Arabidopsis thaliana: one gene and its partner. The protein of the gene in region 2 interacts with the protein of the main gene of each other region in a pairwise test. Each region holds a gene or a part of one and is shown on either strand. Other genes may lie near its edges. The genes, in order: CBF2 and AT4G15770.

Region 1 (3,655 bases), 4.0 Mb from region 2:
CCCGAAACTTATGTGAAGTGCTTTGCCGGGTAGGTATCTTGCTATATACAAGTGTTCGGATTTTACTGCTACTCACCAATAAAATATCCCGTAGATTTTTACTATATGGATCATTTTCTCTTTACAATCTCGAAACATTTGTTATTTCCATAAATACTGTATATAAATCTCTTGATACTACTTATACACTATCACTATCTTGTATCTTTTGCTATTTTTTTTTTTTTATTTTTTTTTTGTATCTTTTGCTATTTACATAGGATCGTTTCTCAGTTACATTACTGCCTAAAGCTTTGACTAAATTAAAAGTGTCTCCGCATCCTTTTTTTTTTATTTGCAGACATTTTTTGAAACCCTTTTTTTTTTTTTTTGGGTCAAACATTTTTTGAAACGTTAGATATCTATATAGTGCCTATAATTTATCATATTTACAAAAACTCACGGAACTTTGGATATTTACCAAACGTCCTTGAGTCTTGATATTTGCTGAATTAGCAGAAAGGCAGAAACTGTTGCTATCAACCAACCTGGAACTTTTGCTATTTACATAAGTGCCTAGAACTTTTCTTAGACACGGAAATGCCAGAATCATCTAACTTTAATTTTACAGGTGAGCCCAAACTTTTTGTTTTCAATTCACTGAATTACGTAATAGTATTATATTTTGATTTGTTGCTTATGGGGAGACCAAAGATTATATATTCTGCACTCAAAAACATTTGCATTTGACAACAACTTTTACCATTTACATTCGTTTCTCACAACCAAAAAAAGAAGAAGATCCATTCTAAAAAAGGATCAAATGTATAAAAAGCTATAATACCAAAAATGGAAATAAAAATCGAATTTTAATAGCTCCATAAGGACACGTCATCATCTCCCTCGACATCAAAATTATAGTTCCATTGAACCGACGGCGACGGTAAAAGCATCCCTTCGGCCATGTTATCCAACAAACTAGACATCCCCAACATCGCCTCTTCATCCATATAAAACGCATCTTGGCTCTGTTCCGGCGTATAAATAGCCTCCACCAAGGTCTCCTCCATGTCAAGACCATGAGCATCCGTCGTCATATGACACATCTCATCTTGAAAATTCAACGCGGCTTCAGCCGCCGCCTTTTGGATTTCCTTGGCACAGGTTGATTCCGGGATTCGTAGCCGCCAAGCCGAGTCAGCGAAATTGAGACAGGCAGATCTGCCACGGAGAGCTATGGCGGCGACGTCGTGAGCACGAGCTGCCATCTCAGCGGTTTGGAAAGTCCCGAGCCAAATCCTCGTTTTCTTGTTTGGCTCTCTCAACTCACACACCCACTTACCGGAGTTTCTTTGACGAACTCCTCTGTAAATTGGGTGACGAGTCTCACGAAACTTCTTCCTTCCCGCTGGTTTCTTGGGGCAGCTCGTGGCAAGCTTCGGACTGTAATCACCGCCTGAGGAAACCGGAGACTCGTAATCGGAGCCAAACATTTCAGAAAAGGCAGAAAATGAGTTCATTGATCAGAAGAGTACTCTGTTTCAAGAAACTGGATAAGGTTTATGAGAGTAGAGTAAGTAGAAGATCTCTGTCTTTTTTTGTATGGTATGATAAAATATTTATTTCTCTATCTATCTTTCTTTTCTAATTCAGGTAAGTGTTTGAAGTTATAGAAATGTTGGAGTGAGAGCTTGCTGTTTATATTGGCCGGAAGATATTTGGATATTTGTGGGGTCGAACGCGGAGTTTCTGTCTCTGTGAATGCCACGTGGATAAGAAACAGCTAAGCGATCCCACGGTTTTGTAATTATCAAGGCTGTCAATCACTGAGAATCTGACATGTGTCCTTTGACCCATCTTGGGAAGTTTCTGACCCTTCACTGGTTGATGCCTTTAGGGTATGAATTTTTTTAACTTCTTATTGTATGAATGTGTGGCTGTAGTTTATAGGGTACGACAACCATTATTAAATATTATTTTTCCACGAATAACAAATTGTTTATAATTGTCGCTTTTCTATGGTAAAATAATTAGACATAATGATCCGTGAAACGAGATATTTTCAAATGCTCTTTCTGTCTTTTCTCCATTCACATATCGTGCATTGCAAATACTTCTAGAGTATAGTGAGATTAGATATTTGTGTCCTAAAAAAAATGTTATATTATTATTATTATTATTATATATATATATATATATTTGATTTAATTAATCAAGTTTCGTAGCATAGATATGTAAATTTAATTATTCAGAAAAATTTATATATTGTTTCAAAAAATTTGAATATGCTAGAGTAATTTCCTAAGATTCACGGAGGCTATAAACTTTTTTACTCAGGATTTCTTTAAGATATTGAGAAATGAGAACACAAGTTGCTTAAAATCGAAGGAACAAAAAGAAAGCTTTTGGATATTCTTTACATAAGTATACATACATGGTCGAGAATTAACAAGTGGCAGGGGTGTATTAATTGGATATATATGTGAGAGACAAGATAGGGTTTGTGTAATTTGGCAAAAGGAAAATATCAAATATGGTAAGTGGTTAGGCGAAAAGACATTTTGCATGTAGTTGATCACAATTTCCAGCATCTCTCTAACAAAAGTATGGTTCCTCCTCATACCTCTTCTCTTCTTCTCCCCCTTGGCTTAGACTTAGAGCGTCTTCGTCCTCTTTACTCTTCTTTTGTTCAACCACCATCTCTATCTTTTGTCCTCTCCTCTTCATCTTCATTTCTTCCAACCTTCTTTTTGGTCTGAAAACTCGCCGGACGCCACCGTGAGTTGAGTTTTCCGGCAAAGTAGAAAGGTAAACCTTTTTTACAGAACTTATTTGTTTTGTTTTCCTTACAACATACAAATTAAAATCATAAATGTTCACCGTCCCTTCGCTACTTGTCTAATAATAATCTGGATTATCAGATTTGCCAGAACAACAAAAATAATAATAATTACGAAGTAAACAATTTTATTAATTCTAAAGTCCAAATTAAATTGATTGTGGTTGATCTATTAACCCCGCTTATATATATTTTTTTTGTTTTTTCGCTTATATATTTCTTAAACTCGACTCATATATTTTTTGAGAAAAAAATACTCCACCGAATAATAATACAGGAGCATAAAATTACTAAATAAAAACTGGTTTAAGCCAAGGATTAGACCGATATAGTAGCAAGTTATACATCACTTTCAAATTCCAATAATAGCTATAAAATATCTCAAATCTCAACAACAGCAATAAAATATCTTCACAACGAACGTTTCTCTCTCTCGCTACCTCTCGCTATCAATTGTCGTCTCACGGTATTGACATATTCGGAGAAATAATACGACAAGGAATGGTGCGCGAAAGAAAGTGGTTTAGGACCTTAAGGTACAGAAAACGACAAACAAGATATTAGTATAAAAAAAGAAAGTAAAACTTGAAAATGACATGACATTGGTTACAAGAGGAGCCACGTAGAGGGCCAATGAAGGGGAAGCTACGGACAGTGCTCTCTTGTGGGACCCATATTTCTGTTTATGGTGTACGGTCTATTATTGGAGGTTTTGCTGAATCGGTTGTTTCGGTTTTATACTCTAATTTAAACAACATTTTTTTGTTACTGCTCTAAAAATACTTGCATTTAAGAATAGCCCACACTTATACTGAAACTGAATCAATTTAATTTACA
Region 2 (3,844 bases):
ATAACAGTAAATATTATTTCTAAACATTTTGCAACACAGCTTTGCATCCCAATTCCCAAGTGAGGAACAAACGTACAAAGGCCAAGACTTTGGGTTGAAGTTGAACTTTACAAGATTACGTTTGAAAAGATGATGAATATCAATCCCCTACTCTTAATGTGGGAAATTTTCAGTGTACAACATATTTATTCAAAGAACACCCTCAATATCTTTCCCAAAAAGTTATGCAATCTGTTTCAGAAAGATTTCAGAACTTAATTGGTTTAAACATCTCTTCTCCAGATTATTTGGCAGCAGTACACAACCTATATGCCCAGTAATAAGTTTTGAAGTTTTAAATCAAAGCAAGCAATCTGTTTCCATACAGAAAACTGATTCATCAGCTTACAATTGTAGCTTCTCGATACTCTTGTTTGAGAACAATTGAGACTTTCATAGATACAATACCATGTTCCACAAAATTTGTGACAGTCACATACCCTTAATACTCAAAGGCCAAAGTTTGAAGCTTGAAAACAATTTGAAGCTTTTGGACTATAAAACCAAAGAAAAATCAGCATAATCAATCTGTCTCAAAAATCAGCATAATCAATCTGTCTCAAAAATCAGCATAATCAATCTGTCTCCAACACATATCTGAATCATTAGGGTTACAGATTTGAAAATTAGCATATGTATGTAAATTTCCAAAGTTTCAAGCTTGATGAAGAATTTGAAGCTTTTAAGTATAAAAATCAAAGCAATATCAGGAAACTCAACCTGTCTCCAATACAAATCTTGATCATCAGGTTACAGATTTGAAAATTCGCATATGAATGTAAATTTTTTAGCTTTTACATACTCAAGAGTCTCACAAAACACCTCAAAAACAGATTTATAAAAATCGAGACTTTCATAGATCCAGAACCAAGTTCCACGAAACTTGTAACAGCTACATACTTTAAAACTCAAAGCAACAAGCAGAATCAAACTAAGACACAACAAAGACAAAACCTTTAAACTTTCAAAGGTCATCTTCACCCCTCAAATACTCTCCAATATCAGCCTGATGAAGCACAACAATACCATTAGGATCCAATTTCCTACAATCCTGTGTACTCTTCGCAGCAATCCCAAACCCTAACGGAACATCAGACATCGAGAACACAACAACACCATCTCCAGGAACAATACTATCAGTAATCCTCCCTAATCCACCTTTCAAGACATGGTTCCCATAAAGAAACGACATCTCCGAAGTGGGTTTAAGCCATACCTTGTGTTTAGCATTCGCCGCCAAGATATTGAGTGACATAATCGTCAGATGGAAACTACCGGCGTGAGTGTATTTCCCGATGCAGGTTCCGAAGGAGACTAGGTTTTTCCTGGAGATGTTTGTGGCTCGCTTCACGAGGGCTTCGCTGACGTAGTAGACTCTGTTTTTCTGGAGGCGGAAGCAGTAGCTGCCGGGTGTAGATTCGGGTCCTTCGTCTGATGGGTTCTCGACGATCTTCTTGAGGTTGTTGCCGACGAATTTGAAGAGCTTCTCGAAGACGACGGTTGTCTCGGTCTCGTCTAAAGGACGCATCTTCGGGGAAGAAAGTGATGAATAATGGAGAAAGAAGAGAAGCTCTCTGTTTCTAAGAGGGATTGTGTTTTTTTAGGGTTTTAGGGATTTAGGACCAAACCTAATGCGGCCGATGAGTTTTGTTATTTCGACTTTGGTCCTTTGTTTTAAAAATATCTATTGTCATTTCAACCTCGAAATTATTATTTTTGTTAAATCCAACCCATGAATAATTCACTTTGAATATTTGGACTTTGGAGGATAACTGAAAGTTATAACAAATTTGATAGTTCATGTAGTTTATTGAAAAGATGTTTAGTTAGAGATTTTTTCATGTGTAAAAATATTATAAGGAAATCATACAATGAATTACTAATATTATAAGGGCAATTGACAAAACAAAAATATATTATTTTAGAAAAAGGTATATATATTTCTAATATAAATAAATACAATTAATTACAAATATTGTATAACGTGTAAGAAAATAATTGTTTTAAATATATATATATACTTCTAAGATTAAGTAAATTATACATTTAATCACTAATACAGTAAAAATATTAAATAAATTATTAAAATTAGTAATTCTAACACAAGAAGGCTTAAATTTTTCTTTTCTTTTTTTTCTCTCTTCAGAATTGGTTTCATATAACGATCTGTGTGATACACAGTTTAATTGATATATGAATCGACAAATACCAATAAAAATCGCTGTGAATGAATATGTATAGATAACGAAAAATACGCGGGTCAAGGTACAACCACGACATGCCATATTGCCATGTGGCTTCAACCCCCACATATAAGTCCACGACATTGCAGGACATAACGATCATAAAATTTGGAGGAAATACAAATATAGAAGAATGGAAGAATTGGACATAGTAATCGTGGGAGGAGGCATTGCTGGTCTTGCAACTTCCCTTGCTCTTCACAGGTTCACTATAATCTCCTCATTTTCTCAATTATAAGGTAATTTAAATTAGAAAACATATACATGAACTATTGACTAACTAAACATACAAATATGATTATAAAGGAAGGGCATAAAGAGCGTTGTGTTGGAGAGATCAGAGTCTGTAAGATCGGAAGGAGCAGCATTTTGGTATTCAGACTAACGGCTGGCTTGCTCTTCAACAACTTGGTGTCGCCGATAAGCTAGCTTCGTCTTAAGTCTCTCCCAATTCATCAGTAAGTATATAAATATTTATATTTTAACTAACCTTATCTAGTTATAATGATTTCCGGTATGGTACTAAAACAGGATAAGAGATGTTTTGATCGAGAAAGGTATTAAACGAAGAGAATCGGTTGGACCAGCATCCTATGGAGAAGTAAGAGGTGTACTAAGGAACGACTTGGTTCGAGCTTTGGCTCATGCTCTTCCTCTTGGCACTCTCCGGCTTGGTTGCCATATTTTGTCGGTTAAGCTCGACGAAACAAAATCGTTTCCGATTGTGCACGTTAAAAACGGGAGAAGCTATCAAAGCAAAGGCACGTTTTAACAACAGTAGATATATTTATTGATCAATTATTGAGGTGATGCCGTAGTGGAATTTTTTTAGTATATACTTTATATTAGCCGACAGTGACATTTATGGGTCGTGATCGGTTTTAATGGTTTGTGTTTTGTTTGTTTTTCACTGAAAGCAACATGTTTAGCATGAAATGCATGGGTCTTATATATTTTGATAATATACTTTTCTTTTAATTTAGGTTTTGATTGGCTGCGATGGGTCAAATTCTGTAGTCTCTAGATTTCTAGGATTAAACCCGACTAAAGACCTCGGTTCGCGGGCCATCAGAGGGTTCACAAATTACCCGGACGACCATGGATTCCGACAAGAGTTTATAAGAATCAAGATGGACAACGTCGTAAGCGGACGACTTCCTATAACTCACAAACTCGTCTTTTGGTTTGTTGTTTTGCGAAATTGTCCCCAAGGTAATTAATAACCCGGTCATGCTACATTTCATACTATACATAGACTTCTATTGTTTTCATATAACGCACTAACGTATTTATAATTTGTTTTATAAATAGACTCAAACTTCTTAAAAAATCAAGAGGATATCGCAAGATTGGCACTAGCATCAGTCCGCGAATTCTCAGAAGAGTGGAAAGAGATGGTGAAGAATTGTGATATGGACTCTTTGTATATCAACCGTTTAAGGTACCGTGCTCCTTGGGATGTTCTGTCTGGAAAATTCCGACGTGGCACCGTGACAGTTGGCCGGAGACAGTATGCACCTAATGGGCCCATTCTTAGGACAAGGATGTTCGGCTGCGCTTGA

Evidence for each region.
Region 1: the proteins of AT4G15770 (region 2) and CBF2 interact in a two-hybrid assay, tested with the Arabidopsis thaliana proteins (one large-scale study listed by BioGRID).

What each region holds. Positions count from the first base shown.
Region 1 is NC_003075.7:13,014,588-13,018,242, forward strand, and holds CBF2 (C-repeat/DRE binding factor 2), read right to left. Parts: upstream 1,649-3,655; 5' UTR 1,500-1,648; coding exon 849-1,499; 3' UTR 663-848; downstream 1-662. UniProt on the Arabidopsis thaliana protein: Transcriptional activator that binds specifically to the DNA sequence 5'-[AG]CCGAC-3'. Binding to the C-repeat/DRE element mediates cold-inducible transcription. CBF/DREB1 factors play a key role in freezing tolerance and cold acclimation.
Region 2 is NC_003075.7:8,975,783-8,979,626, reverse strand, and holds AT4G15770 (RNA binding protein), read right to left. Parts: upstream 1,733-3,844; 5' UTR 1,568-1,732; coding exon 1,004-1,567; 3' UTR 683-1,003; downstream 1-682. Other genes in the region: AT4G15765 (FAD/NAD(P)-binding oxidoreductase family protein), read left to right, coding at 2,416-2,486, 2,589-2,654, 2,814-3,012, 3,266-3,494, 3,594-3,844.